4 linked regions of the Lonchura striata genome follow. The protein of the gene in region 3 interacts with the protein of the main gene of each other region in a pairwise test. Links are inferred from orthologs where the notes say so. Each region holds a gene or a part of one and is shown on either strand. Other genes may lie near its edges. The genes, in order: SF3B4, MEOX1, CWF19L2 and GFAP.

The links.
Region 1: the proteins of CWF19L2 (region 3) and SF3B4 interact in binary tests that used the Homo sapiens proteins (3 or more experiments, as listed by UniProt). The two-hybrid records come from large-scale screens. The link is inferred for Lonchura striata from reciprocal best matches to the Homo sapiens genes CWF19L2 and SF3B4.
Region 2: the proteins of CWF19L2 (region 3) and MEOX1 interact in binary tests that used the Homo sapiens proteins (3 or more experiments, as listed by UniProt). The two-hybrid records come from large-scale screens. The link is inferred for Lonchura striata from reciprocal best matches to the Homo sapiens genes CWF19L2 and MEOX1.
Region 4: the proteins of CWF19L2 (region 3) and GFAP interact in binary tests that used the Homo sapiens proteins (3 or more experiments, as listed by UniProt). The link is inferred for Lonchura striata from reciprocal best matches to the Homo sapiens genes CWF19L2 and GFAP.

The regions. Positions count from the first base shown.
Region 1 is NC_134635.1:2,714,730-2,721,935, reverse strand, and holds the start of SF3B4 (splicing factor 3B subunit 4), read left to right. Parts: upstream 1-3,992; 5' UTR 3,993-4,007; coding exon 4,008-4,041; intron 4,042-4,638; coding exon 4,639-4,767; intron 4,768-5,041; coding exon 5,042-5,584; intron 5,585-6,590; coding exon 6,591-6,785; intron 6,786-7,206. UniProt on the Homo sapiens protein: Component of the 17S U2 SnRNP complex of the spliceosome, a large ribonucleoprotein complex that removes introns from transcribed pre-mRNAs.
Region 2 is NC_134627.1:5,975,758-5,984,021, reverse strand, and holds the start of MEOX1 (homeobox protein MOX-1), read right to left. Parts: upstream 3,262-8,264; 5' UTR 3,247-3,261; coding exon 2,868-3,246; intron 1-2,867. UniProt on the Homo sapiens protein: Mesodermal transcription factor that plays a key role in somitogenesis and is specifically required for sclerotome development. Required for maintenance of the sclerotome polarity and formation of the cranio-cervical joints.
Region 3 is NC_134604.1:44,165,904-44,173,096, forward strand, and holds the start of CWF19L2 (CWF19-like protein 2), read right to left. Parts: upstream 3,193-7,193; 5' UTR 3,184-3,192; coding exon 3,118-3,183; intron 1-3,117.
Region 4 is NC_134627.1:2,883,107-2,891,296, reverse strand, and holds the start of GFAP (glial fibrillary acidic protein), read right to left. Parts: upstream 3,299-8,190; 5' UTR 3,240-3,298; coding exon 2,926-3,239; intron 2,439-2,925; coding exon 2,378-2,438; intron 2,016-2,377; coding exon 1,920-2,015; intron 1,855-1,919; coding exon 1,693-1,854; intron 1,456-1,692; coding exon 1,330-1,455; intron 1,131-1,329; coding exon 910-1,130; intron 719-909; coding exon 675-718; intron 22-674; coding exon 1-21. Other genes in the region: Ig-like V-type domain-containing protein FAM187A, read right to left, coding at 7,643-8,190.

The sequences.
Region 1 (7,206 bases), on a different chromosome or scaffold from region 3:
CCATCGCACAGGCACGGGAGGCGGCTGCGTGGCTCGGAGATGCTGCCGAGGCACACGACGGCTGCTCCAGCCGTGGAGGAGCCGCCCCAGAAGAGGAGGAGGAGGATGAGGAGGAAGGCTCGTCCACCGTGCTGCTCTTCGAGAGCCTGCGGGACTGGGAGAAGGAGCTGCAGCGTCTGGGCGCTGCGGGCTGGAGGGTGAGCGCCGTCAATGAGCGCTTCGACATGGCCCCGAGGTACAGCCCCGGGGGTCCCCAGCACTGTCTGAGCCACTGGAAATGGCACCCGAGATTTGGGGGACCCCACCCGTGTCCCACCTTCCCACAGCCTCCCCCAGTACCTCTGGGTGCCCAGTGGGCTTCTGGACCACGACCTCAAGCGAACTTTTGGCCACTTTCAGGAGCGACGGGTGCCTGTGAGTGCCTGGGCAGGGTGGGGGGCACTGGGAGGGGATGTGGGGGTGTCACCCCGATTTTTTTGCAGCGCCTGTGCTGGCACCACCCGGGTGGAGGGGACCTGCTGAGAGCTGCCAGCTTTCACCGGGCCTCGGAGCCAGGCAGCGAGGATGTGAGGTGGGTGCCAGGGGGCCCCGGGGTGGGGGGCTGAGGGTGCCCCTGGCCAGGCCCCTCTTGGGGTTCCCTGTGCCCCCCAACCTGTCCCCTCTTGGGGTTCCCTGTGCCCCCCAACCTGTCCCCACCCGGGGCTCCCTGTGCCCCCCAACCTGGCCCCACCCGGGGCTCCCTGTGCCCCCCAGGTGCCTGGAGGCGCTGCTGCTGGGGGACCGCGGGCCCTGCGTGTTGGCTGACACGGCCGAGCTGCCCACGCTGGCCGACATCCAGCTCGCCCACCTGAGGCTGCGGGAGCTCTGCCTGCCTGGTGAGTGGCACTGGGCGGACCCCGAGGACCCCCAAACTCCCCCTGGGGAGCTGGGAACCCCCCATTGAAACTCCCTCCCGTGGGATCCAGGCGCGGTGGCAGAGGAGAAGTGGCTCTCGGCCCTGGAGGGGACACGCTGGTTGGACCACGTCCGGTGAGCAGGGGGTCTTTGGGGTGTAGGGTGGTATTTTGGGGAAAATTCACCATAAATCCCATGGTGGAATGTCCGCCCCCAGCCCACCTGGCACTGTGGGGCAGTGGGGGCATTGTGGTGGGTGCATGAGCCACCCAAAGGGGTGACAGTGACATTTTGGGGTGCCCTGAAGCCCTGCTTTTGCCCCCCAGCTCCTGCCTGAGAAAAGCAGTGGAGGTGGCGTCGCTGCTGGCAGGGAAGCGCTGCTCCGTGGTTCTGCAAGGTGTGGGGCTGGAAAAGGACAGGAGGGGGCTGGAAAGGGGACCCCCATCATCACCACATTGCCCCCCCAGAGCCCTCGGACCGGGACCTGAACTGCCTGGTGGCCTCTCTGGTGCAGCTCCTGGGGGACCCCCACGCCCGCTCCCTGCCTGGCTTCCAGAGCCTGGTGCAGCGGGAGTGGGTGGCAGCCGGGCACCCCTTCCCACGCCGGCTGGGGCTGCTCTGCCAGGACAGCCCTCGGGAGGAGGTGAGACCCCCATTGCTGTCCCAGTGGGGTGACAGAAGCTGGGACAGCCCTCGGGAGGAGGTGAGACCCCCATTGCTGCCCCAGCGGGGTGACAGGAGCTGGGACAGCCCTCGGGAGGAGGTGAGACCCCCATTGCTGCCCCAGCGGGGTGACAGGAGCTGGGACAGCCCTCGGGAGGAGGTGAGACCCCCATTGCTGCCCCAGCGGGGTGACAGGAGCTGGGACAGCCCTCGGGAGGAGGTGAGACCCCCATTGCTGTCCCAGCGGGGTGACAGGAGCTGGGACAGCCCTCGGGAGGAGGTGAGACCCCCATTGCTGTCCCAGTGGGGTGACAGGAGCTGGGACAGCCCTCGGGAGGAGGTGAGACCCCCATTGCTGTCCCAACGGGGTGACAGGAGCTGGGACAGCCCTCGGGAGGAGGTGAGACCCCCATTGCTGTCCCAGTGGGGTGACAGGAGCTGGGACCTGCCTGTGAGGGGTGAGCCCCCCCCCCAATCCCGAATCCCCCCCAGGCCCCCGTGTTCCTGCTGTTCCTGGACTGCACCTGGCAGCTCCTGTGGCAATTCCCGGCGGATTTTGGCTTCACTGAGGCTTTTCTCCTGGCGCTCCACGACAGCAGCTTCAGCCCCTACTTCAGCACTTTCCGCTTCAGCTGCCAACGCCAGCAGGGCCACAGCGGCACGGTGAGGGGCATTGCTGCACCCCCAAACTCTCCCATCTCACCCCTTCTCCATCCCCATTCCCAAACTGGGGACGGGCACCCCCAGATCTCCCATTTTACCCCTTTTTTCCCCCCGGCTCCGTGCCTCAGTTTCCCCATCCCAAAGAGGGGACTGACTTCCCAACCACTTCCCCCACAGCCGCGGCTCCCCAGCCAGATCTACCGACCCATGGGGGGCTGGCAGGACCCTGGGGGACACAGGGGAGGCCCCCAGCCCTGCAGCTTTCCCCCGGTGTGGGCCTGGGGCCGGCGCTACACCCGGCAGCAGCGGGAGCAGTTCCAGAACCCCGCGGGACCCCCGGGCCCTGCTGAGTCCCGGACCCCCAGCACGGTGAGTATGGCTGGCCTGGGGGGGGCTGCACCCTTCCTTTGCTTCCCTTTTTCCCTTAATCCCTATTTTTATCCCCTCCGTTTCCTCTTTCTTTCATCCCCTTTTATTTCCAAATCCTGTTTTTTCACCCCGCTTTTCCTCCCCCATTTTCCTTTCACCCCTTTTTGATTTTCCCTAATCCCCGCTCCCCCTTTGCCAGCCCGCAGACCCCTGCCCGTGGCGGGGTGCCAGCCTGGTGCTGACGCTGGCCAAGGGCTCCTTGTGCCCTCACCCCCTGCCCTGGTGGAGCCGCCCCCCCCTGCGCCCCCCATTGCGGGGGTCCCCCTCGGACAGCCAGGGGACACAGGGGGGGCTCCTGGGGACCTGCCAGCCCACCCCGGGGCTGCTCCTGCCCTGCACCGCCGGGCCCTGCGTCCGCCTCTGGCACCGCTGCTACCTCAGGGGGCTGCCCCAGGAACAGGTACTGGGGAAACTGAGGCACGGGGGAGGGCTGGAGACTGGGGGTGGTGGTTTGGGGGGGGTCCCAGTCTGGCTGGGGGGGAGGATGGAGCCAGTTTGTGTGCAGCTGGTGTCTGTGTGTCCATGGGGGTGGAGGGATGGATGGACGGATGGATGATGAATGATGGATGGATGGATGGATGATGGATGGACAGATGGACCCCATGTCCATCCATCCCATCTCGTCCATGTTCCCATCCTGTGCTGAACATCCTGCCCCGTGTTCCCATCCTCGTGTCCCTGTCCCATGATGAACACTGCACCTCTCCATGTCCTGCTCCCCGTGTCCTTGTCCCCACGCCGTGCCGGCCGCTCTCTCTGCAGCGCGGGCGCTTGGCCCCATCGCTGGCCGGGCTGGCTGAGGAGCTGCAGCTGCTCCAGGACCGTCTCCACACCTGGACCCTGCGGAGGCCGCACTGAGAGCCGGGGGCACCCGAGCCAGCCCAGCCCCGCTCGGGGGCTCTCAGCAGAGAGCTGCTCCAGCTGCTCCCGCCGCCTCCGCTTGCTCGGCGGTGCCGGGAAGGGCGAGCGGCGGCTCCCGAGGTGCCCCCGCTGCTGCACGGGCGCTGCGGGCTCTCGGTCCCCCATTAAATCTGTGCTGCCTCCATGAGGCTCCGGGAGCTCAGCGATGGGGATGGGATGGGGACGCTGCGGGAGCGCACACCTGGGACCTCCGCGCCGCTGGGATCATGGGGCACTGAGGGCACTGCTGGCCGTGTCGGGAGAGAAAGGCCATGTCGCGACAGAAGGGGTCCTGTCGCGACAGAACGAAGCGCGGCGGTCCCTGCCCGCACCCAAGATGGCGGCCGCGCCTTCCCCTCACGACGGCGCTTCCCGCCAACGCCGGGCTCGCGCCTTGACGTCACGCGCGGCGTGCGTGCGTGCGTGCGTGCGGCGCCGCGCGCGCGGAGCGGGGCAAGATGGCGGCGGGGCCGATCTCGGAGAGGAACCAGGGTGGGAGCGGCGGCAGCGGCCCGGGGGCACCGGGGCAGCGCTCTGGGGACGCCTGAGTGCACCGGGGCCGTGCGGGGTGCTGGCGAGGGCTCTGTGGGGAGTGGGGAGTCCTTGGAAGCGCTGGAGGGGGTTTTGGGCCGCGGGGGGATACGGAGGGAGGAGCAGGCGGAGCTCCGAGGCCACGGTGGGCTGGGGTTTTTCCCAAAGGAAAAAGAGGCTGTGGGGCTCCTGGATTAAGGGTGGCGAGGAGAGATTGGGGTTTGTGGGGGTTTTGGCTGGAGGGTTTTGAGTGGAGTGATTTTGAGTGGAGGGTTTTGAGGGAAGGGTTTTGGCTGAAGGTTTTGAGAGGAGGATCTTGACCGGAGGGTTTTGAGGGGACGATTTTGACCGGAGGGTTTTGCGGGGAGGATTTTGATGGGGGGGTTTTGAGGGGAGGATTTTGAATAGAGACTTTTGAGTGGAGGATTTTGACGGGAGGGTTTTGAGGGAAGGGTTTTGGCCGGAGGGTTTTGACCGGAGGGTTTTGAGGGGAGGGTTTTGGGTGACTCTGAGCGCGGGGGGTGGCGGGGTCCCGGCGCTGAGCCCCGTTCCTCGCAGATGCCACGGTGTACGTGGGGGGCCTGGACGAGAAGGTCAGCGAGCCCCTGCTCTGGGAGCTCTTCCTGCAGGCCGGGCCGGTGGTCAACACGCACATGCCCAAGGACCGGGTCACGGGCCAGCACCAGGGTGAGGGACCCCCAAAACGGCAACGAGGGGGGTGGGATTGTGGTGTGGGAGAGGGGGGGATCATCCTCTGTCCCTCAGGAGGTGTTGGTTTGCATGAAGTGGGGATTGAATCGAGTATGAGGTGGTATACAATAAAACCAAGGGGGTTTCAGTCGATAATTACATGGGGTTTTTAACGAGCTGGAGTTTTAAATCGGGGTGTGGGGAGTGGCTTTGTGCCCTGAAGTCATTTAGGGGTCTTGCCCCACCCCTGAGCTCCTTTGGGATCCCCCAGGCTACGGCTTCGTGGAGTTCCTGAGCGAGGAGGACGCCGACTACGCCATCAAGATCATGAACATGATCAAGCTCTACGGCAAACCCATCCGGGTGAACAAGGCCTCGGCCCACAACAAGAACCTGGACGTGGGCGCCAACATCTTCATCGGCAACCTGGACCCCGAGATCGACGAGAAGCTCCTCTACGACACCTTCAGCGCCTTCGGGGTCATCCTGCAGACCCCCAAGATCATGAGGGACCCCGACACGGGCAACTCCAAGGGTTACGCCTTCATCAACTTCGCCAGCTTCGACGCCTCCGACGCCGCCATCGAGGCCATGAACGGGCAGTACCTGTGCAACCGGCCCATCACCGTGTCCTACGCCTTCAAGAAGGACTCCAAGGGCGAGCGGCACGGCTCGGCGGCCGAGCGGCTGCTGGCGGCCCAGAACCCCCTGTCCCAGGCCGACCGGCCCCACCAGCTCTTCGCCGACGCGCCGCCGCCGCCCTCGGTGCCCGCGCCCGTGGTCACCGCGCTGGGGCCCGGCGTCACCCCGCCAGGTGGGTGCCACGGCTGCCCGGGGCGGGGCTCGAGGTGCTGGCGCGCGATCCCCGCCTCTTTCCTAAATTTTTAGGGTTTTTTTTTCCTCCTGGCCCATTTTCCAGCATGTGTATGGGGTGGGGCTCTTTCCCCGATTTTTTGGTTTTTTTTCCTCCTGGCCTATTTTCCAGCATCTTTATGAGGCAGGGCTCTTTCCCACATTTTTATGGGTTTTTTTCCTCCTGGCTCATTTTCCAGCCTCTGTATGGGGTGGGGCTTTTTCCCAGATTTTTAGGAATTTTTTCCCTCTTGGCTCACTTTCCAGCACATCTATGGGGCAGGGCTCTTTTCCAAATTTTGGGTTTTTTCCCTACTGGCCCATTTTCTAGCACCTGTATAGGGTGGGGCTTTTTCCCAAATTTTAGGGTTTTTTTTTCCTCCTGGCCCACTTTCCAGCACCTGTATGAGGCAGGGCTCTTTCCCAAATTTAGGGTATTTTTTCCTCCTGGCTCATTTTCCAGCACCTTTATGGGGCAGGGCTCTTTCCCAAATTTTGGGTTTTTTTTTCTCTTGGCTCACTCTCCATCAGTGTGCCCCACACCTGTATGGTATGGAGAGGGGCTGGGAACACAAACCCTGTGAGGAACAACTGAGGGAGTTGGGGATGTTCAGTCTGGAGAAAAGGAGACTCGGGAGTGACCCCATCACTTTACAACTTGTAAAATGGTTGGAGTCAGGTGGGCTTGGTCTCTTTTCTTCAGCAACTGACAGAACGAGAGGTTACGGTCTCAATCTGCCTGAAGGGAAGTACAGGCTGGATATCAGGAAAAGATTTTTTACAGAAAGAGTGATAAAGTTCTGGAGTGGCTGCCTGGGGAGGTGGTGGAGTCACCATCCCTGGAGGTGTTTAAAAAATGCCACTGAGTGCCATGGTTGAGCTGAGGCATTGGGGCTGGCTTGGATTTGATGATCTCGAAGTTCCATCTCTGATAATTCAGTGAATTCTGTGATTTCCCTCTGTGCCAGGCCTGCCTCCCCCCGGCTCCTTCCCTCCGCCGGTGCCGCCGCCGGGAGCGCTGCCCCCGGGGATGCCCCCGGCCATGCCCCCGCCGCCGATGCCCCCGGGCGCCGGAGCCCCGGGACCGCCCTCGGGAGCCGCCCCCGCCGGGGGACACCCCCCTCACCCGCACCCCTTCCCTCCGGGAGGGATGCACCACCCAGGTACGGGGCTGGGAGGGGCTGGGAGGGACCGGGAGAAGCTGGAAGGGACCGGGAGGAGGTGGAATGGGACCGGGAGGAGCTGGGAGGAGACCGGGAGGAGCTGGGAGGGTCCAGGAGGAGCTGGGAGGGGACAGGGAGGAGCTGGGAGGGGACATGGATCAGGATCTCCTCTTTTTGTCTTCCCTCCACCTCTCCTTTCCTCCCACTTCCTGCTGGACCTCTCAAACAATTCAAACGTCAGCGAGTTATTGAATTTCTGGGTCAGAACTAATTAGCTGACCGGTCCCTTTAAGTGTGGCATCCAGTAATTTTTTTGATAATTATCAAAATACTGGAGTTTAATCTGAGCGGGGGTTATGATTGTTGAAGGATCTGGGGAATTCAGGAGGTTGTTGCTGTCTGGGAGGCACCAGTTTTCCTT
Region 2 (8,264 bases), on a different chromosome or scaffold from region 3:
TTTTATGCTGAGAATTAGTTACTTAATTTTTGTGTGTAACCAGTACACAACGCAGCTCTGTGTGTCCTAGCATAATATTTCTACACAGAAATGATAACCAAAATGGTAACAATATGAGCACAATGTGCAGCTTCATCTTCTAGGTGTCATTTTGGTGGCCAAAGCAGTAAAACTGGAGAAATCTGTGAGGTTTTGTGACTGACCTGGCCTTATCTGTGCCCATCAGAAAAGGAGAAACCAAACACAGGTCCGGGAATGCACAAGGGAGCAGTGTGGCACACGCTGCAGCTGGGCTGCTTTCCACTCCAGGGAATTAGTTTGGTTTGTTCCATGCTGCTTCTGCTACTTCAGAAACCCACAAAAAAAGATGGGGAATGTACAGGAACAAAACTTCACAAGTTTCTGCCCATGTTTTTGCCCTCAGTTGAACAATCCCCTTTGTACTGCACAGACACACTATCACATTTCACAAGTGTGACTTGGGAGGGAGCAGGGGGAAGCAGGATTTGAAGTGTGCATCTCTTGCTGGGACCTTTGCCACCAGCTCCTGGGAGCCTTGAGCCCAAAGCCTCCCCTGGGGCTTCTGCTGCCCTCAGGGACACGTGGAGGGTGCAGCAGCTCTCCAAGCCTTCAGCACAGGGCAGAAACTAAAAACAAGCAGCCAGTGCAAAGTACATGGGACAGATTCCCTTTCCAAGGGGCGGTCCACCAGTCTGCATCCCCAAAAGACAGTGGGAATAATTTAAAATGGATATTTGGGTATTTCTGGGGCAGAGTAGGGTGTGTAGCTAGGAATCTCTCAAGGACACTGCGTGCCACAGGGTATTGTCAAGAGAAATAATCCTTGTCCATGGTTGGGGTTCTGTGAGATTCCAGAAGTGGAAACGTGGCCCAGCTGCTTCAGTTTTGACAACAGAATGTGAGAAATGACAAACGTGTGAAAGGACAAAATCATCTTGGACAGGTTTTTTCTACTGTACAGCCAGTTTAAAAAGAAGAAAGGGGAAAGGGGAAAGGGGAAAGGGGAAAGGGGAAAGGGGAAAGGGGAAAGGGGAAAGGGGAAAGGGGAAAGGGGAAAGGGGAAAGGGGAAAGGGGAAAGGGGAAAGGGGAAAGGGGAAAGGGGAAAGGGGAAAGGGGAAAGGGGAAAGGGGAAAGGGGAAAGGGGAAAGGGGAAAGGGGAAAGGGGAAAGGGGAAAGGAAAGGAAAGGAAAGGAAAGGAAAGGAAAGGAAAGGAAAGGAAAGGAAAGGAAAGGAAAGGAAAGGAAAGGAAAGGAAAGGAAAGGAAAGGAGCCAGAGGCAGATGTGTGCCTTTCCCAAGGAGTGTGTCTCCTTCCAGGATCCCAACCAGTTCCATGCTGGGTGGAATTTAGCAGCTGCCCCTCCCCAGGGCTGCAGTGGTCACTGGAAGGTGGAAGCCCAGACCTCTCAGGGATGTCATTGCTTACAGCTCCCTGAAAGGAAGAGAGTAGGGAACAGCAGCAAGTATGAAAAGGAAGTGTGAAGAGTGCTAGTAAGAGAAAATAAAGGAATGTTTTTCTTCCACTTAAAAGAGGGTATCAGTCTCTTTAAGGATAAAGATATCCCTCTAATGTGAGTAAGCTGAAATCTGCTGTTTACCTATGATTAGCTGATGTTTTAATGAAAGCGTTGTTCACCTTTTAAATTGCTATTTTATTTAAACTTCTTTGTATTTGGGAAAATTTTGCCTAAACATGCTTTTTTTAGTATAAATGAGCTTAAATTCTACAAATGTCTGCAAAAGCTAGAAACCAATCAATTAATATTTTTATCCCTGCATTCTCTGCCTGTGAAATTAGGCTACTGGAAAATATTCTCCACTTGTTGGCAGGACTGTGGGGAAAAGCACACTGTAGCTTGTATGTGAATACTGTGGCATTTGAATGCATAAGAGCATCTTAAATTGTAACAACTTCCTAAGAAAAAACAATTTTATGCATATTTCACTGATTTGGATCTGAGTTATCAGCAACTTAGAGTTTGTATAATTACAAAATTATTGATTTTTACAGTGTAAAAAGAATTCTTTGCTAGCTAGGATGACACAATGAAAACCATGTACATTTTCTGCATTGTTGGACATTTTACTGATGGGCAAAGTTTTTGAACCTTCTGCTCTGAGGTTAAAATATTTGACATTTAGTGAGACCAAACAGAATTTATATTTAAAGGAAGACTTTGCCTCTTGTACTTCTTACCATAAACTGAGATGTCAAATTCCTAATATGACATTCCCTATTAGCACAGGCAGCTCAAGATGAGGGATCTTTGCTCTCTGCCATTCTCTTTTGCTCAGACAAATGGCAGGTGTGACTGGATAACTCCACACCCTAGAATTCAGCTCTGTGTGCACATGCCATGTGACTCCTGCTCAGTTACAGCAAATGTGCATTGTGCTGGAGAGTAAAATGTTCAGTACCCAAGATGTGCAGGAGTGAAATACAAAGACCAGAAAAAGAAGAGTAAGAGTAAGAGTAATTAAGAGTAAGAGTAAGAGTAAGAGTAATTAAGGGTAAGGATAAGGGTAAGGATAAGGGTAAGAGTAAGAATAAGAGTAAGAATAAGAGTAAGAATAAGAGTAAGAATAAGAGTAAGAATAAGAGTAAGAATAAGAGTAAGAATAAGAGTAAGAATAAGAGTAAGAATAAGAGTAAGAATAAGAGTAAGAATAAGAGTAAGAATAAGAATAAGAATAAGACAATAACAGTTCTGTTACCATCTAAAGTTTCCCCAGTCAAATACTATGGAATGTTTTGCTCAGCAGCTTTCTTTCTTAAGTCCCAGTCTCACCAGGTGTTCTCATTCCATCTCCTGCAGTCTACCACAACCCTGATTTCATATCACCTACCTGCGCTTTCCTTTTTCCTTCGGGATGGCTTTTTCTCAGAGTCACTTGTAGGGTTCGCCGCTGCCTCATCTTCCTCCAGAGGCACAGGCAGCCTCAGCAGGCTGGGGCTGCTGCCCTGTGCCTCGCCAGCAGCCAGGGCCAGTCCCGCGCTGTCTCCTGCTGCCAGGTGCCACTCGGGGCAGTGGAACGAGGGGCGCTGCTCCTGGGGGAAGCTGTGCGGAGCTGTCACCAGGCAGGAGGCTGAGAAGTCGGGGTAAGCGGCGCAGAGTGCTTTCTGCTGGAAGGAGAAGGGCGCCGCGGGGCCGCGGCCGAGCCCCGGCGCTGCGCTGGGCGCGGGGCGCTGCGCGCTGCGCAGGCAGCCGCTGCTGCCGGGCTCCATCCGCGCCGCTGCCGGCCTCGGCTCCCGCCTGCTCCGCTCAGCCTCCAGAGGCACGGGGGAAGCGCAGGGAAACTCTCCCGAGTTTCACAGGTCGCCTCCCTAAACAACAGTCTGCGCGTGGCTTTGGTGCTGCTGCGGGTTTGCTGCTTTAGCAACTCTGGCTCTAAAGGTCTTCATTGCCCTGGCTGGGGGAGCAGAATTACGCCATGAGCTGCTCCCTGGTGAAGTGCTGGGCACGAGGGAAACACTTTTTAAATACTGTGCCGGGGAGACGGTGGCAAGTTTGTGAAGTGAAATGTGAGCGAAGGGAGGGAGGGGTTAACACACATACCCTCAGCCCCTCCAACCAAAGCAAAGCAGGCAGCTATTAATCATCTGAAACCTTATATGCACATCTAATGGGATTTGCAGATGGAGCCTTTTAAAGAAACAATGTCTGTAGTTTTTTTTTTTTTCGAGGGAAAGAGCAGCACACACAAAAAAAAGTCTTTAATGTTTCCTTGTAACACTATGAAGTTATTTTTATTGCACTGTTAACAAAATTCTCCGTCTTGGGTTTAGAAAAAGCCCTAAAACAGGATTCAATAGACACCAAATTTCAAGAACTAAAGTGGGAAATAGAAGTAAGAAAGGACTTCACTAATTATATATAATTTAAAGCCCAATCCTAAGGTTAAAAAAAAATATTAAACCTGGCTTGTACACACATGCAAGGCTTTGAGTAATATTTGTTTGTTTTGTTAGATTTGTAACACATATATTTGCCGAGGGTTGGAGTCTGCTGCCAGTGGCAATTATTCTTTCTGTATTCTACTTTCTAGGGAATTTTCAATTCACCCTCCTGCAAGGAAATGTCCTGATTTTATGCCAATGAAAGACATGTTTTTCATCTTTTGTTGAACATTTTATAGTTTTTCCTAACAGAAAGCAGAGTTTTTTTAGGCCCTAGAGCCATCCCAGCTGAAAAGACATTAACAGGGAATCTGTTCTCAATCCCCTTTTCCCAGAAGTGTGGCAGCTGAGGATGTCCCAAACGCTGCTATGCCAGGGTTATTAATATTTTTAATGACAATTAAGGTAGGCATGTGTTCCATGTTTCCAGAAATCTGCTTGCAACCATTTCAAATACTCCCCTGGCCTTGCTCCACGTTGTGTGTGCCTCTGTCCCTTCTCCCACCACTGCTGCTGGGTTTTGTGCTGTCTCAGGGGCACAGGGATTTAACAGACATGAGGTCTTCATTTTTCACAAGAGCTGAAGTGATACTGAAGTTATTTTGGTTTTTTTATCGTTCAGAACTGTAAAATTCAATGGAATCTGGGTGAGGTGGGGAATGTGTTTATGCTGTTATATCTGTTGGTTTTTAGAACTTGGCCTTTTTCCAGGAAATCAAATTATTTTCGTTTAGATCCTTCTGAACAGGAACATCAAATTCCTTTCTCTCACAGGAATCTAAATTTTCATGCAAAATTCTCAATATCTGAGAGCTAATTAATTCTCTAGAAAGAACTCACCTAAACACTTAAATCTGTTGCTCTGCTGCATTAAATAGTAAACATTTAAAAGCATTTCATATTCACAGGCAGGAGGAAGACCCTCAGACTCCTTTTCTGAAAGATTTTGAGGAATTTGTGAATGCTGCACATATTTCAGGCACTGTCAGAATCCAAGTCAGAGTCCAGAAGGTTTTGCCCATGCAGAATATTTAATTTATATTCTCTATGTGTGTGTGTGTGTTGACATATGTATAACACTTCACTTACATGTGTCACTCAGAATTTGCATGAATTCACATGTTTTGCAGTTCTGCCTTCAGTCTACAAAAAGATCTCTCTAATTAGCAAACATTTGTCCTTGCAGGTGTGAAAAATGCATATTTTATGATTAGCTTTCCACAAATGTTACAATAAATATTATATGTGTAATGTTAAAAAGTTATGCTGTATTAATTCTCTTGCGTAGTATGTTAAATGTAGTTTTAGGTTACAACATAATGTTAAAATAGAAACTCTACAATACAGGATTTGTTACAAGATCAAGCAAGAAGATGAAATAATCAAGAAACTCTTCACACAGAGATGTAGCGAAGGGGGCCCATAAAAAATTACAGCCTCCTTATCAGAAAAGACAAACATTCTTCTGCCTTCTCTCTGTCTTTCTAGAACCAACAAGATTAAGGAGAAGAAGTTGACAAAACCAAAAAAAGTTCTTAATTTGCAAAGAATTTATGCATCATGTATGAGATATATGAATATACAACAGGCTATTGCTTTTAAAGTTATTCCTTTGTTCACAAAGCACACTTCTAGTGTCCGAGAGCATCCAGACATCTGTAATTCTTTGCTTTTTATTGTCTTGTAATTGTCCTAACTCTAAACTTTATTACTGTGATTATATTGTTATTTTTATAACCATTTTATTATTATTAAAATTAAAAAAACCCAACTGATTGGCATTTTTCACACAGGGACAGAAGAAAGGAGGATTGTCCCTTAGTTCCAAACCCACTTGGGTCAGGATCAGATCCCCAGCAGGGATTCCCACATCGTCTCCCTCCAGGTGAGACCACTCGGGTGTTGGGGAATGGTTGTTAGAACAAGGCCATGATTCTATGGAATACCTGTTCCAAAAAACCTCTGTCTAAGGCCCCAGAATCAGGCTTTTGTGGAACTTGGGATACACAGCTTGGAAACCAGTCTCTGTTTCTGGGAAATTGCATAGTGGTACAAGGTCTGGGAACGGGATAATAAGAACAGGCATAGCCTCAAAGATATGCTCTGTCCTTGGAAGGCATGGCTCAGAGATGACAAACTTGGCTTGGAGAGAGAACTTAGCTACATCTGTAACCGCACGCAGGAGAAATAAAACAAAGCCCTTTGTAAATGAAGCGGTCAGAGCTTACCGCTGCCCATGCCTGTAGAATACCCCATACAAGCTAAGGTATCTTTGAATAAAGCCGGAGCTTGCTTCTCAGTCCTATTGCTTAGCGTTTGTCTTCCCCCCCGCCCTCATCGCCGGGACAGCTCTCGCCGTCGCTGCTGCATCCCAGATGTGGGAGCAGCAGATCCCCGGTGCCCCCTGCGCTGGGAGCCCGCGGGGCTCCGCGGCCGCGCAGCTGCCGCCGCCACTCGGCGCCGCGGCGGGGGCCGGGGCCGCGGCATCTTCCCACGGCTCCTGCGGGGACACAGCGGGAGCCCGCCTGCCGAGCCCCGTTTGGTGCCTTTAACCTCCGCAGGGTCAACAACCTCCGCAGGGTCAACAACCTCCGCCAAATCAACCACCTCCGCAAAATCAACAACCTCCGCAAAGTCAACAGCCCTGCGGCCCGCCGCTGGGAAATGCATGGGGAGGATGGCACGCATGGGGAGGTGGGGCTGGTGAGGAGCGCTCCCGTAGGGAGGCAGGGAATTTTCCTTGAGCTTTTCCTCTGTGCATTTATCCTTCAGCTTTTCGTCTGTGCATTTATCCTTGAGCTTTTTCTCTGTGCATTTTTCCTGGAGCTGTTCCTCTCTTTCTTTATCCTTCAGCTTTTCCTCTGTGCATTTATCCTTAACCTTTTCTCTGTGCATTTATCCTGGACCTGTTAACTCTCTTCCTTTATCCTTGAGCTTTTCCTCTGTCCATTTATCCTTGAGCTTTTCTCTATCCATTTATCCTGGAGCTTTTTCTCTGTGCATTTATCCTTCACCTTTTCATCTGTCCATTTATCCTTCAGCTTTTTCTCTGTCCATTTATCCTTGAGCTTTGCCTCTGTGCATTTATCCTGGAGCTTTTTCTCTGCGCATTTATCATTCAGCTTTTCCTCTTTCCCTTTATCCTTGAGCTTCTCCTCTGTGCATTTATCCTTGAGCTTTTCCTCTGTCCATTTATCCTTCAGCTTTTTCTCTATCCATTTATCCTTCAGCTTTTTCTCTATCCATTTATCCTTGAGCTTTTTCTCTGTCCATTTATCCTTGAGCTTTCTCTCTGTGGGATTTCCCCAGCTAAGGAGCAGCCCCAGAAGCTGACCCTTCTTCTGCCCTCTGCACACCCAGCAGAGGTTTTTTTCCAGAGAAGGAGTGACAAGGGCAGCCACAGCAGCACTTGTGAAAAACATGTTCACTTTCTTGGGAAAATTTAAAAGTTTAATAAACTTTTTAATAGGAGATTAAGGACACAATAAGAGATAAGGATTATAGAGTAAAGGTTGTTATGGCCAGGTGCATCTTTGCACTCAGGCAAGAGCACACTGTTACTTTTGGGGATATCCCTTAAATACCTTTTGGTTTTAGTGTATTCTTATTTCCTCCAGTTTTTGGGCTTTGGTCTGCACTCTCTTCAGACGGTGAGTGCTGGTGGTTGGCAGATCTGTATCAGGTGTCTTTTTCATATATTCATTGGATGTTATCCCATCCAAGCAGGCATTTTAACACAAGCATACTTACATCAGCTATTTCACTCAGTTTAATTAACAACAGAAATAAAAACTATATTTTTAGAACAAAGTTACTTTAACACTACACATGGAAAATATATTTTAACATATGCAAAAAGCCAATATTATAATATGTATCTTTAACAGAGAGAAGGGGGCTGCAGCAGCTGTGAGAGCTGAGGAGGAAAGGCCAGGCCCAGAGATGGGCTCTGTGTATCTATCACTCATTTGAACAGTTTTCTCAGCCTGTCTGGAAGAATAAAAGAATAGCAGAAGTGTAATATTGGTGAGAATTTGAGACTTTCTGTGCTGCCAGGCACTGACCCCCAGGAGAGCACTGCACTGACCTGAGGCTGTGGAGAAGCTTCCAAAAGGGAATGATAAAATTGGAATTGTGGGTGTGGAGTTTGAATAGAAGTGTGTAATATCACACGGTGGAAGAGTTTAAAGTTTTATAAATATATAATAATAGTTATACATATATATATATAATGTACAATTATATATAATTGTATAATTATATATATAGTAATGTATAAAAAGCAAGATGGCGATTTTAGAGTGGAGGCTGGTTCTTCTTCACCTTCTTCTCCACCTTCTTCTCCA
Region 3 (7,193 bases):
ACCCAAGAGAATCTTTGAAAATCAGAGAATCTGACTTAGCTTTAGGCTGCCTGGAAGTGAAAACATAACAATGTGGAAATATAACACGGACTCTATACTGTGACTTTCAGTAAGAAGTTGAAAAGTCACATTGGGGAGGTTTCTCATCAGCCATATAGGGACCAAGCACTTCTAATGGTCAACATCTGTAGAAAACATCATTGTCTCCAGATCCATTCCTACACTCCACAAAAAATGAACTTGAAGAATCATAGTGGCTAGCATTTCACAAATTATACTCCATTCTGTTTCCCTATCTTTCCTTGTCTCAAAACCTCTAGAGTCCTTGGCCAGTCTGCACCATGATCATCTCTGCACCTTTCTTCCCACCGTGCCCAAGGTTCTTTGGCTCTTCTTGAGATGCTGGGACCAGGGCTGCATAAGCTATTTGACACAGAACTGGGTAACATGACCATGCAACCACTTCCTTTGCTCTTTATTCATCTCAGTGGTTCTAATACTTGATCAGCTTTTGTCTAAGCAATGACGTAGCATCTTTATAGAGCTATTTACTGCCCATCTGTTCGTTTTGAATGGTAAAAGCCAACTCTGAGCCCACTGCTGTACAAAGAAAATCAGTTTGTCTTACTCCAGAAAATTAGTGTTGTGCACTGGGTTTTCTCTAGTATCACACAAATACTGCAAATGCATTTTTAAGATATTCATGTAGGAGTAATTTGTATTCATGGCATTTTAAAAATATGCTGAACAATACAATGATGGTCTGTTTCTTGTTCAAGTCAAAGAAAATTACAAAATTCAACAAAGATCCTATATACACACCTTTTAATACACTACAGCTTAGCAATAATAAAAAATGCCAGATTTGGTTTAATTCTAAAAACTCCAAACCACTTTCTCTAATATTCTTCAGCAAGGCTGATGAACAGAATCTAAACCTACAAGAATTAACACCGAGAGTTAGGACCTAAGAAGCTGCAGCATCATCAAACAACTCTTGAGACATATCCTAACAGCGTACCCTGGTGCTGAAGTGCAGCAACTCTTTGAGACGTAGTGCAGTGAGAAGTGTAGCCCCCCTGCTCAAGATACCAAACTTTCTAGCAACTACTGGAACTGTGCCAAAACAACCTGTGCCTCAAGCAAAAAGGCCTTGAAGTGGTGCTGCCCCTGTGCACAATGAGAGACCTCTGGGTCTCTCATTGTGGGGCCAGCCAGGAGAGCACTGAGGCACTCGGAGCCACTGCAGGAGCCAAGGACTCAGCAGGATGAACCCAGACTATGGCACACTTAAGACTGCAAGGGTATAAAAGCTCAGAGATTTGGTTGTTCAGGACCCCTCCTTGGAGGCACCCAGCTCAAACTGACTTCGTGTTCTGCACCATGATTAAACTATTGTAAGGATTCAGATGTCTCTGACTCTTCCATGGAAAACCTGGGGTCAAGCTGGAAAGGGAAGCTTGTCTGAGTGTGAGTGTTGTGTATAGGGAACCAAGCAGAGCACACACTGGCTCACTGGAGCTGCTCTCCACAAAAGGCTCCAGTGCCAGCAGTGAGAGCCTCGTGTGGTGGGAGTGCATCCTGGGTTGGGGACTGTGCTTCCTGAATGATCAGCCAGGAGAGTTTCCTTAACCCTGCCACTGGAGTTTTTCAAGATATGACTGAACAGAGGACTAAATAATCTCACCTAGGCTGCCTTTCCCACAAGGGGTTGGACCAAGTGATCTTTCAAGGTCTTTCCAGCCAGGGCTGTTCTATGATTCTAAGCCAGTGGCATTGGCCCAGGCAACTTGCTGTACAAGGGGCACCAGCTGAGAAGGAAAGGTAAAGTAGGATAACAGTGCCCTACATAAGCTTTTCTTCTGTTAAGTGCATTTTCTGAACATCCAAGAGGTTGAACTGAGCAAAGGTGAAGTTTGAGTAAAGCAACAAACATCCTAACAACATCAACAAACTTTTGCAGGGCAGTGTGACTCGTTGTTACTAAGTTAATTTCCTTTCAACTGCTTGTCAAAAGGGGGGGAAATCGCTGAAGGGAACTTTTATTGCCAAGAAATGGTTCCATAAAGGAGATGCCCACATGATATATTACATAAAATCCTCTCTCTTTCTGCTTTGCCTTGAGAAAAGGCATCACTGCTCTGTCAGCATCAGGCTAATCAGGTCATTTGCCCACTACATTTTTTCTGACAATATCTTTGCCCAGAAAGATTTGACTGCTGCTTACCCTAGCCTTCCTTTTGTCAAAAGCCTATCATCACAACCTCATCCTCTTTCCACAGTATTTCTCTTACACTTCTCTTACACTTCCCTTAAACCCCAAAAACAAGCCATGTCACTTAAGTGATGTGCCATTTGTGACTTCAGCATTCACTCTACCTACAAGTGACAACCTGAATCATCACAAATACCAAAACCAGGCAGATTTTGAACAAAATGCACCAGGATTAGCATGGGTCTCCAAGTCACAGCATCTCTACCAAAGCACCTGAGAGTGGGAGCCTCCTAATTCTTGTCTTACAGTACAGTAACATATCACCAGGCACAAAACTGACCCTATGAAATCAGGCTCCCACTTCTTAACACATGCACACAACTTCAAGTTATTATCAGTCTATGACCAGAATGTTGCAATGGAGGGATACAGACTCTTTAGGAAAGATGGGCCATAAGACAAGGAGAAGTTATCGCCTTTTAAGTCTCATTTAAGGAAAGGCTGAGAGCTGGGTCTGTTCAGCCGGGGAGTGAGGGTGGTGCCATCTTATCAATGTATAAAAGATCTGAAGCGAGACGGTAAAGACTCCGGCTCTTTCCAAAAGTGTAAGCACAGAAATACATAATAAGTGAAATACCAAGAGGATCAATACCACAAGTGGCAAAACGCACGAAACCGGGTGGGTGCCACGCAGGAGTTCCAGACTGCGTCCCGCCACCGTCGGTGCCGCAGCCCAGCTGCCCTAGGCACAGAGGGGCTCTCCCTCGGCCTCCCCGCCTGCGGCCGCCGCGGCCAGGCCGCCTTCAGGAGCGCACCGACCCGCGCAGCACCCAGCGCCAAGCCCAGGGAACGGCGAGGTGCTGAGCAGCCCGGGCAAGGCCGGGCAAGGCCGGCGACCCCACCTGTGCCGGCAGCGCCGCCCGCTCCCGCCGCTCCCGGCCGCGCTCGCCCGCCGCCCCGGACGCCATCCGCCATCCGCACCGCCCGCCGGAAACCGCGCGGGCCGTACGGCAGCGCCGCCCGACACTGTCGTGAACAGCGCCCCGGGGGGGCGGGGTGGGGCGGCTGCGGCGGCGCCCGACTGCGGGGCACGGGGGACAGCGGGGATGGCCGGGATAGCGGGGACAGCGGGGATAGGGGGATAGCGGGGATAGCGGGGCACGGGGGACAGCGGGGATAGGGGGATAGCGGGGATAGCGGGGGATAGCGGGGATAGCGGGGCACGGGGGACAGCGGGGATGGCCGGGATAGCGGGGACAGCGGGGATAGGGGAATAGCGGGGATAGCGGGGCACGGGGGACAGCGGGGATGGCCGGGATAGCGGGGACAGCAGGGATAGGGGGATAGCGGGGATAGCGGGAACAGCGGGGATAGGGGGATAGCGGGGATAGCCGGGCACGGGGGAACAGCGGGGATAGCCGGGCACGGCGGGGACCTCCCGGAGCCGGGGTCTGGCACGGCTCGGCCCCTCAGCCCCTCTGTTCTCGCTCGGTTCATGGCAGGGTTATAGAGTCATGGAATGTCCTGAGCTGGAAGGGACCCACATGGATCATCAATGCCCAGCTCCTACGCAGGACCATCCCCAAGAACCACACCGTCTGATTCTTGTGAGAGCGTTGTCCAAATGCTTCTTGAACTCTGTCAGGCTTGGTGCTGTGACCACTTCCCTGGGGAGCCTGTTCCAGTGCCCAACCACCCTCTGGGTGAAGAACCTTTTCTCAGTATCCAACTTGAACTTCCCCTGGCTGAGCTGCACGCCTGTTTCCTCGGCTCTGTCACTGCTCACCATAGAGCAGAGATCAGTGCCTGCCGCTCCTCTTCCTCTCACAAGGAAGCTGCAGACCGTGATGAGGTCTCCCCTCAGTATCCTCCAGGCTGAACACACCAAGTGCCCTCAGTCGTTCCTCAAATGGCTCCTCCAGTCCCTTCACCATCTTCATTGCCCTCCTTTGGGCAGTCTCTAACAGCTTTGTGTCTGTTTTACATTGTGACACCCAGCACTGGAGGTGAGGCTGCCCCAGTGCAGAGCAGGACAATCCCCTCCCTTGCCCAGCTGGCCATGCTGTGCCTGATGCCCCCCAGGACAGGGTTGGCCCTCCTGGCTGCCAGGGCACTGCTGGCTCATGTTCAGCTTGCCACACACCAGAACCCCCAGGTCCCTTTCCATGGTGCTGCTTTCCAGCCTCAGTCTGTCCCAGTCTGTCTGCACATCCAGGGTTGCCCCATCCCACGCACCCAGGTGGGTTCCCCACACCTTGCTCAGAGCTCACCAGCATCACAGGTGGAAGTCCCAGCAAAGACCATGTCCTGGCACAGCAGCTTATTGGAACCCTGTGCTACCTGACCAACAGGACCACACAGTCCTGCAATGGGCATTAAGGAAACTTCCCTGTGCAGCCGCCCGGAAGCCTCTCCAGCAGTCACACTCACACCACCTGAGCTGCCCTGGCAGCTACACACCCCACAGTCAGACAAGGCTTCCTTACTGGCTCAACCCCAGGTTTCCCACAGCAAAGTCTCTGACGTCTCAATCCTTAAAATAGTTTAATCACAATACCACAACAAAATGACAACTTGAGCTGGGTGTCTTCAAGGAGGGACCCCAAGTGAAGAAATCTCAGGGCTCTTACACCCTCACAAGCACAGTCCAAGCAGAGCCATGTCTAGAACCCTTGGCTCCTTCCATGTCCCGGAGTGTCCAGGCACCTGGCTGGCACCACAAGTCCCTGTACCCTTTGGCAGTTTCAGAGTCTCTTGCCTCAGGCTCAGGCTTCTCCCCAGTACTCAGCCTGCAGCTGCACACTGAGCACTAAATGCAATCCTCAGCACTGGGGATACTGACATCCAGGCTCATCCCTCCTGCTGGGCTGAAATTCCCTTGCACAGACCCTAGCCTGCTTGTCCAGACTGGCATTAATGAGAGCAAACAAGGGAACGTGGCCTGAAAGATGCTCACAGGTTCAGGTGCTCTGCAGTGCCCAGTGCTCCCCATTGCTGTGAACACCTCCAGGTGATTTTCCAGACACTTTCTTACCTGTTTTCAGCCAGTTCAGTGCATCCATGTTAGACTGTGACCTCTGTAATGTCAGGGTGCTGGCTGCCCAGAATGTGCACGGGTGAGCAGAGGGAAATGCAAAAGCAGGTGTGTTCAACCATTTGGAAGTTGCAGCTGGTCAACACCATTTGACAGGGCTTCTTTGCCTCTGGTGAAACAAATGTTTATCTGGGACATAATTTCTTTGGGATGAGATCAGAGCATTATTAATGTGTCTGACACCAAACGTGTCCACAGCTGCCAAGTAATATTATTTAGGCCAAGGTCTGAGTGAAGATCTTGGGTAATTTGTTAGCTATTTGCATGGGACAGTATGTTTTTAAAGTGGTAACAGTAATTTAATCATCATCTCCATGGTGGTATTAAATGTGTAAATTAAATTTGCACAATTGTTCAATTTATGCTGACAGTTAACAGCATCTCAAGAAAAACCTGCTGTAGATCACCACAGGTATAGAATGATAACTGATAGACTTTCATAGGCACCATTTGGAAAAGCAGCATGTGAAACCTCTTCAGGGAGCCATTTACAGAGGAAACAGATGGATACAGAAGATGTTCCAGCAGGATTGACTAATGCTACTTCCAGTCCTTGGCTATATACAGCAAAGTACACTGCTTGAAAGAGGAGAAGCAAGAAAAGAGCATGTTTGCCCCATTAAGGAAAGCCTCTTCTCTGATTGTGATGTGCTCTTCTCACCAACAAATTGGTTTCTTTCCATCCCAGTGCTACCACTTGTTCCAGGCAGCCAGCAGAGTATCTCAAGTGGGTGCTCTCTAACTCGCTCAGCACACAGCCAGGCATATGGGCTTAATAGATTTGTATTAAATCTAAACAGAAAATTGATAGTCCATGAGCTGAGCCAACTACTTGTGACTGAATCAGTTTAGGAAGTATTTGAAAATGCGAACAGAAAGTCTGGAGACTGTGGCATAGTGTGAATAGTGACAGATGTGGACAATTTGGGAGTGAGAACAGGGAATGTATTTTCTACAGCAGAAAGTTACAGACAAAGAAGAGGATTCAAAGCACAGGGTGAGCTCTTGCATTGTTAGGTGCCATTCTTCAAACCTGTAACCCTCCATGTCATTAATAGGGTGGTTCTGTAAATTTTAATTTAAAATGATTTTCTAATACTCCTGGTTTTAGGAAAGAAACTATGACACAAATATGCTCTAGAATCTGAAGAACAGTAAAACCTAGAAAGTTATATCTGAGGGCTGCCTTTAATTTTGAAGTCAGTGGTTAGGGAAATGGTGGCATAATTTAATTTCATTTCCTCTCCTTTTTTTGAGAAAAGTATTTTCTTAAATGGAGCAGGTAAAAACTAAAGTTTACCCTTATTTCTTTGAAGATATTGGTATGTCTGAGAGCTCTTCACATGCTCAGAAATCTTCAGTGAGCCTAGAGAGATACTTCTTGGTATACCACTTTTAATGGTCAGCTGGGCACCTCTGCTCAGTTGTCTAATTCTCTGTGCCAAAATCAAAAGGCTAACAAAACAGTAATACCCTGGATATACTGATTTTTATGAACTTCAGGGAGGAACTGACCTTTCCTAGTGAAGTATTATTTTCCATTTAATGGCACATTTTACACTTTTTCTGAAAGAAATTGGTCACTCTCCAACTGATGTGTGTTATAAACCTCCATGCTTTTAACTTTCACTACGTGCTTTAACTCTCAGCTTGTTTTATTTTTATTTCAAAAAGGTTAAAAAAAAATCCTCTCTACTCAGTGTGATACTGTGCAGTTTTCTTTAAACTAGATGCAAGGTTTCACTAGGGAAAAGAGTTGTTTTTTGTTTTTTCCTGAGAAAACAAAATCTTTTCCCACTGTGATGCTGGAGAGCATTTCTTACCTCAGTTACAACAACACATTATGAAGTCCTCATACTAAAGAAAAACATTATCCAGTAAGAT
Region 4 (8,190 bases), on a different chromosome or scaffold from region 3:
ATTTGGTGTCCAGGCTGGTTTCTGGGGGACATGGGCAGGACAAGGCAGTGACACCCTGCCCCGGGTATGGCCCTTCCAGCCACACTCACGAGAAGAAGCCCAAAGAAAATTAATTGGGCTGGAAACCCCTGAACATGAGAGACAGCAGCCCTGGGGACACAACCAACCTCAGGGACAGGGCTGGCTCAGGGACATGGTTGGCCTTGGGGATGTGGCAGGCTGCAGGATCTGATGTGTCCTGGGGACACAGTTGGGCTGTGGGGGCACTGGGGACATTTCTCACCTTGGAGATGTTGTGGACCATGGGGACATGGGTGGCTTTGGGATGTGATTGAGCCTGGGGACAGGGTTGTCCTTGGGGCCACAGTTGTCACTGAGGAACACAGCTGGCCTTAGGGATGTAGTTGTCATTGAGGACACGATGATGTGATCAGTACTGGGGACATCATCGGCCTTGGGGACATGTTCAGCCTTGGGGATATGGTCATGGCACCCTCCTCCCCCTACCCTGGGAGCACCAAGAGATTCCCTGGCATTCAGAGAAAAACTTCCTGATCCCTCTGAATAGGGCAGAGATGGCTAAGGTGGCTTCTCCTGCCACAGAGCCCCCAGAAGCCACCCCAGTTTGTGCCACCATCCCACTGCCCCTTCCCACGCGTGGGGCACAGCCTCACCTCGGATCTGCAGGTTGGAGAAGCTCTGCACAGGGATGGCGATCCTGCAGGGGCAATGGGAGCATTGGGAAGAGCACCAGGTCCTGCTGCCCCCCCGCTCCACCTGCCTGGGGCTCTGGCAGCAGGGCTGGAGGATGGTCCCCAACCCAGCTGGACACCCCAGAGGGACCATGAGGACTTGGGCTTGGTTAGGGGCATGGCTGGGTTGGGGTGAGGGGCAGGATGGAGCTGTCACCTGCTCTCCTCGCCCTCCAGCAGCTTGCGGTATGTGGCGATCTCAATGTCGAGGGCCAGCTTGACGTTGAGCAGGTCCTGGTAGTCCTGCAGGTGCTGGGCCATCTCCTCCTTGAGGCTGTGGATGTCCTCCTCCAGCCGCCCCACCGTGTCCTGGTAGCTGGCCGTCTCCAGGGCGTAGCGCTCCTCCAGCTCCCGCAGCTGCCTCTGCAGGGACTCATTCTGGGGGGCCACGGGGGCTGTGACTCCCTCCATGGCACCTTCTCCAGGAGCTGGGGGCTCTCCCCAGCGTCCATCTGTCTCCCACCCTTGGGGACCAGCCATTCCCCTGGCTGTGGGGGTGGTCCTAGCAGGGAACCCCTGGTGCTGGCAGCTCCCTGAGGCCGTGTCCCTGCTCTTGCACCCCCCGGCTGTCACCTACCGAGGCCCGCAGAGCCTCCAGGTCGCAGGTGAGGTTCTGCAGCTGGCGCCGGTACTCGTTGGCCTTCTGCTTGGCCACCCTCAAGGCCTCGGCGTGCCGGGCGGCCGCGTCCGTCAGATCTGCGAACTGGGACAGGGGACGTGTGCCGTGGCATGGGACCCCAGGGCAGGGCTGTGTTCTGGTGGCACACGGCGTGGGAACACGACCCTGCTCTGCTCCACAGCAGGGACACGGCCCCAGGAGCACATGGGGACAGCAGAGACCCCAAACCCCGCACACCACCAACCCCGGCCCCGAGATGGTGACACCTTGGGAGGGGACAGCCAGGCCATCCATCTGTGGGGCAGCCAGCTCCCACTGCACCTTGGACTTGTACCACTCCTCGGTCTCCTGGACGTTGCTGGCGGCCATGGCCTCGTACTGGCTGCGGATGTGGCGCAGGGCGGCCGTCAGGTCCGGCTTGCTCGCGTCCACCTCGACGTGCACCCGCTGCCGGGCCAGCTGCTCCTGCAGCTCCCGCAGCTCCTGTGGGGACAGGGGGGTCAGGGCAGCCCCTGAGCCCCAGACCCCCAGGCCCAGAGCGGGGTTACCTCCTCGTGGACCTTGTGGAGGAAGGTGATCTCATCCTGCAGGGTCCCCACACGCCTCTCCAGGTCCAGGCGAGCCAAGGCAGCGTTATCCACATCCTGTCATTGTGAGGGGACAGGAGGGACTGTCCCAGCTGGCCACCTGGGTCTCTATCCTGAGCTGCCTGGTCATGTCCATTCCCTCCCACTCCCACCCAGCCCCGCCTCTCTCTGCCCATCACAGCATTTCCCAGTCCCTCACTGCTTGCTCCTGCCATTCCTGCCCATCCATGTTCCATATCTGTCCATCCCTGCCCTTCCCATTCATCCCTGCTCCATTCCTGCTCCCTACCTGCTCATTGTAACACATACGAGTCCCTCAGTTCCTGCTCCTCCCCATCCCTTCCTGTCTCTGCTACATCCCTGTCCATCCCTGCCCATTCCCAGAGCAGGCCAAGCCAGGATCTGGCCCCTGCCCTTACCTGCCTGTAGGCAGCCAGGTTGCTCTCAGCCTCCAGCCTCAGGGTCACCTCATCCTGCAGCCTGTGCCAGAGCAGAGGCACAGTGACACGTCCAGCACCGTGGCTGGTCACTCTCAGCCCACAGACAGACCCCCCTGGCCCGACAGCCCTACAGCACCAGCACCCCTCCAAACCCAGGTCAGCTCTTGTGCCCACCCCACACACCCCCACACAAACCCCACACTGTTCCCAGGGGTCACCCATATCCCATCACAGTCCAGGTGCACACCAGTCCCTGGTCCCCAGGGCCACCTCGCTCCTGTCTCAGGGGCCACTCTGACCCCTGAGTACACCCTGGACTCCATTCTGGTCCCAGGGATCACCCTGGTCCCTGTCACCACCGTGGTTCCCATCACCAGGAACATCCTGATCACCATCCTGGTGTCCATCCTGGTCCCCGCTGCCACTTTGGTTCCAGTGGCCACCCTGGTCCTGGTGGTCACCCTGACACCCATCCCAAGTGGGCCACCCTGCTCCCCAGGGCTACCCCGAGCTGGACAGCGCCTTACTTCTGCTGGAGGCTGCCGAGGTCCTGGGCCAGGTTGTCCCTCTCCGTCTCCAGCCGGGCCTTGGCGGTGGCCAAGCGCTCCACGCGGCGCCGCAGCTCCCGCAGCTCCTCCTGGCAGATGTCGGCCACGCGCGAGGGCTCCCGGCCCCGCTCCTGGCTCAGCTCCAGCCGCAGCGCCCGGTTCTGCTGCTCCAGCAGCCGCACCTTCTCGATGTAGCTGGCGAAGCGGTCGTTGAGCTCCATCATCTCCACCCTCTCGTTGGTGCGCGTCTCCCTGAACTCCGAGTTGAGCGCCGTGGCCAGCGAGAAGTCCATCCCGGGCGAGCCCAGGCGGGGCCCCGGGCGGGCTCCCAGCTGCGGGCTGCGGGGCGCCCGGAGCCGGCCCGGGGCTCTGCCGGGGAGCGCCCGGGACGCGGGCACGGAGGGGCCGTGCGAGGGCGGGCGCCGGCTCTCCATGCCGGGCGGCTGGGCGCGATGTGCCCGCGGAGGGTTTTTATGGAGCCCGGAGCCCCGTCCTGCCCGCTGCCCCCGGCCGGGAGCCAGCGGCCGGCACGGCGCCAGGCTGTGGCGCCCGGCGGGGTGGCTGTGCCCTGGCACCCGGCCCGGGCACCGCGGCACAGCCCCTGCCCACCGCTGCCCCCGCTCCGGGCACTGCAGGGCTCGGGGAACGCGCCACGGTGGGGACAGAGCGGGGTGGGAGCTGGTGCCAGGCTGGCTGCGATCCGTGGGGCACTGGGGGTGCTGCTAATGAAGACCAGGTGTTAATTAGGTGGCTGGAGCCTCCTAAATCCCTCCCATCCCAAGGGTCTGTGGAAGCAGTGGCTGGTGGCCCTGGAGCCGCAGTCCCCGTCCCGAGTGGCCCCGGGTCCCCGTGGGAAGGCGCTGGTCCCGCACAGCTGAGTGTGCGTGGCCGTGTCACTGCCAGTGCGCTGGTCTGGGGGCTTTGCCCCTGGGGGCGCAGGGCAGGGGCTGCCAGGGGCTTTCCGCAGCGGCTGAAAGGGGCTTTGTGCGGAGCCGGAGCCGGGCACAGCCGGGAGGAGCCTTTGTGCCAGGGCACGGCGCTGCCGGGAAGCGCGGGGGGCTGATCCAGGCGGGCACGGCGCCAGCGCCAGCCCCGTCCCTCCCTGGCACGGAGGAATGGGCACAAACTGGGGCACGGAGGGGTCCTGGGCACGGCCCAGGGAGGGGATGGGGGCGTTCTGGGGACATGGGGACAGGAGCCACACGTGGTGGCACAAGGGTGGGTGCCCCGAGAAGCAGCCAGGGTGAAGACAGGAGTGTCCCTGGGACTCTGCTGCAGGGACAGGGACAGGGACAGGGACAGGGACTGGGGGACAGGGATTGCGGATAGGGACAGGGGCAGGGACCGGCCCCGTCGCTGGCAGTAGATGGCAGCCGATGGCCGGGAAAGGCTCTTGCCTGCCGGGGGAACACTCGGCTGGACCACGGCCACCATCACTGGGCCACCAACAGTGGCCATTGGGGAGAGCTGTGGCTACGGCTGCGTCCCTGTGGGTGCAGCCCTGGGAGAGCCAGAGCCAGCAGGGACCATACTGGTGAGACTGGTGGGACTGGCACAGCTCCCACATCCTTCTTTAACCCCCAGAAGCTCCCTGCCTCCAGCCAGCCCCGTGTTCTCCCGGCTGTCCTGTGCTGGTGTCAGCAGGGATTGTGCCCACAGGAATTCCAGGTTTGGAGCTCCTACACATCCCCCAGTGACTCTTGTGTCACCGCCACAACAGCGGCATCCCTGGAGACACGTGCTGTGCGGCAGCTCTGGTGACAGGACACCTCCCTCCCGGTGCACAGCGGGGTGCAGGGGGACAGAGCGGGGGCTGCGGAGCTTTGGGGTCCTTGGGGGACAGAGCGGGGGCTGCGGAGCTTTGGGGTCCTGTGTGGGCACCCGCTGCTCCCCAGGGATTGATTCTCTCCCGGCTCCCACGCAGCGCGATCAAAGCACGGGAAGCGGCCACTGCCGGCAGCGGCGGGAGGCAGAGCTGGGCTCCCCCTCCTCCTCCTCCTCCTCCTCCTCTTCCCTGGCCCCCCTAAGGAGACAAAGGAACTGGCAGCGGGCTGGCAGTTTTAATTGGAAGCTTCCAGGCTGAAGGAGACAGAGGCGAGATCAGCAGCTGCCGGGCAGGGAAGGAGCCGGGAGGAGCCGGGAGGAGCCGGGAGGAGCCGGGAGGAGCCGGGAGGAGCCGGTGACCCCGGCCCCGTGGGACAGCAGCGCCCGGGGCTGCCCCGGCCCCGCTCTGCCCCTCCCGGTCACACCGAGGGCGGCTGCGAGGAGCTGCTGCAGGGAACCAGATGTGACAGTGCCAGATGTGCCCTGGCACGGCAGGAAAGGGGATCACAGGGTGGTGGGAGCACCGGACCCTGCGTTGGGTGCTTGGGGGTCTCTGTCCCGGGGTGGGGCTGTCGCACGGGTGGCAGTGATGGGGCAGAGCAGAAATACAGAACAAAACCTTTCCCATCACTACACAGTGTCAGGTCCCAGGAGGGCAGGCGGCTCCCCCACCCCTCACCTGCACTCTGGGACACTGGGCAGGGTGCCCAGACCTCCCCCAGCTCAGAAGAGGGTGCGGAGGCCCCCACAGGACCCTGGGATGATGGAGATGGGGGGAAGCCACAACGGAGCCCAACCCCAGAGCAAGAGCCTTTTTCAGGCCAGCTCAGCTGGGAGCTGCTCCTGAATCCTGGCTCCCCGTGTCCTGTGGGAGCTGTGGGAGGCAAAAGGGCTGCAGAATAACTGGGGAAGCCGTGGGTGTCAGGTTGTGTTTTGGGGAGGCTGTGGGAGCCTGAAGGGGGTTCAGGCTCACGGGGGGCTCTAAGGGGGAACTGCCTGGGGGTGGCACAGGGAGGCAGTGGGAAGCAGAGCCCAGAGAGAGTCTCTGAGACCTCTCCCAGCCTGGAGATCTCTCTCCCCCACTGCATCCTCCCGCTGAACCAACCCTCCCCCCAAGGAGTGCATGAGCACCCCAGACCATTGGACCTGGAGCTGTGTCCTCCAGCAGCTCTGCGGGAATGGGGAGACACAAGAGCAACCCCAAAACACAGCCTGAAACTGTTCTGTGCCCGCACCAGTGCTGAGAGCACCCTGGGGACACGGGGTGGGGAGGTCTCAGGAGCCTCCTGGCTCCTGGCTGGCAGCAGAGGTGGCCTCGAGCTGCCCGGGGCCCGCAGAGCTGCCCGGGGCTGCTCGGCCTCGGGGTGCCCGGCTGCCCTGCCCAGGTGCTGATCCGGCCCCTGCCCGTTCTCCCCCAGCCCACGACACCAGAGCAGCTCCTGGACATGTTGGCCAAAGGCAATAAAAACCGAGCACAGCGTCCCACCAAGGCCAACGCCTCCTCCTCCCGCTCCCACGCCATCTTCCAGGTGAGGGCTGCCGGCTCTGGGGCAGGAAACACACCTGCACACCTGGGCCAGCACCAACGTCCCCGGGCTGTCCCCTCGGCCCGAGCTGGCAGTGCTGCTCCCCAGGGGCTCTGTTCATGTGCTCTCTGCTGTCTGGGTGCAAAGCTGCCAGTGGATTTCAGCTCCAGCCAGGCCCTTGCCCAAATTCTCAGGGCTGTCAGGGCTGCCTGGGCAGGTGCAGGCTCTGGCTGTCACTTCAGCCTGGCCCCTGGCTGCTCTCGGGGGAGCAGCCCAGGTGTCTGCAGGATTTTCCAGCCAGCTCCCAGCTGGGCTCGTTGGTGGGTCCTGGATTCCTGCCTGCACGAATCCCTGAGCTGTGCTGGAAATGTGCCCTTCCTGCTGCCAGCTCTGCCTCCCAACAAGCAAACCACGGGCTGCAGAGATACAGGAGCAGTCCTCAGCTTCCAGCACCTCTGGCCCTGCAGGGGTTGCTCCTGGGGGGGATAGGGGAGATTACAGGGCAGTGGGGGAAGCATGTGGGGTTCTAGTGGGACATTTTTAGGGATTCAGAGGGGAAGGCATGGAGCAATGCTGCCTGATGAGTCTTGGTGGCTGTGCTCCCCTGGCCTGCACCAGCCCTGGCTTGGCACCCACAGCCCTGGCTGGTGCCTGCTGGCACCAGGCTCTGTCTGGGGCTGAGTTTGGTGGCAAAGTCCCGAGGGAGAGTCAGGCCTGGAGCTGCCTCTGTGTGTGAGCCCCTCCTGGCTCATGCTGGGGCTTTGGGTGGGTTTGTTGCCCGTTAAGGACCCAACCAGCTGTGCCCTGCTTCATCCCTGAATGTGGGAGACACAGATTGTTTTCCATAGCTCCATCCCTTCCTGCCTCCCTCCCTGACTTTGCTTCTCATGTCCTCACCAGGTGTTTGGTTCGCTATCATCTACACTGTTCAAGTTCCAGAGCATCGCTGGGACCCACAGTGCCCTCCCAGACAGCAGCAGTTCCCTTGGGATTGCTGAAATCCTCAAGTCACATCCTCAAACAAAGGAGATGAGCCTGGAGGGCACATCCTGCTCCCTGCTGAAACCCTGCAGAGATGCCACCACCTTTGAGGGATGTGTAAGATAACCCTGTCAGGCACAAATACTGACTCCCAGCTCTGTGCTGAATTGGATGAGTTAAAAACACCTCAAAAGCAGAGGCGGTTCTGAAGAAAATTGCCAGAATAATTTGGGGAAAAAAAATTATTTTCCCTTCAAAAGGTCAAAACCAAACATTGAAACCAAAATATATGAAAATGGTCCTCACATTGGAAATTTCCTGCATGAGGGCGACCCAAGGTGTCCGAGTGTCCTGTGGGGGAGCTGCTATGACTTGGCCACTTTCCTGAACACCTGAGAGCTCCAGCGGGACAGGTGGATGAGGAAGAAGATGCCGATGATGATGGCAAAGCTGATGCCCACGGCCCTCATGACGAAGACTGACTCGGGGTCGGTGGGGCTGCGCTGGCGCCGGGGCTGGAAGGTGACACTGAGCTGGAAGCCGGCCACCAGCTCGCCCTCCCGCCAGCAGAAGTAGGTGGCTTTGTCCCTCCTGCGCAGCCGCTGGAGGTGCAGGTGGTTCCCGTGGTCGATGAAGAGCCTCATGTGCTTCCGGACCCCCAGCAGGTAGTGGGAGCGGTAGAGGCGCACGGAGCCCTTGTCCCAGGCCACGGCGTGCTCCGGCCGCGCTCCCGGGCACGTGAGGACCAGGTCGCTTTTGGGGGGCTGGCTGTGGTACTGCATGGGGACGCGGGGCAGCTCGGGCTTCTCGCCCAGCTTGTAAATGATGTTGGAGATGGACTGCACGCCCTCCTCGGGGACTCGCTTCTCCGGGCAAGGGGCCAGGCAGCTCCGGACGGCCACCTCGGGGCTCC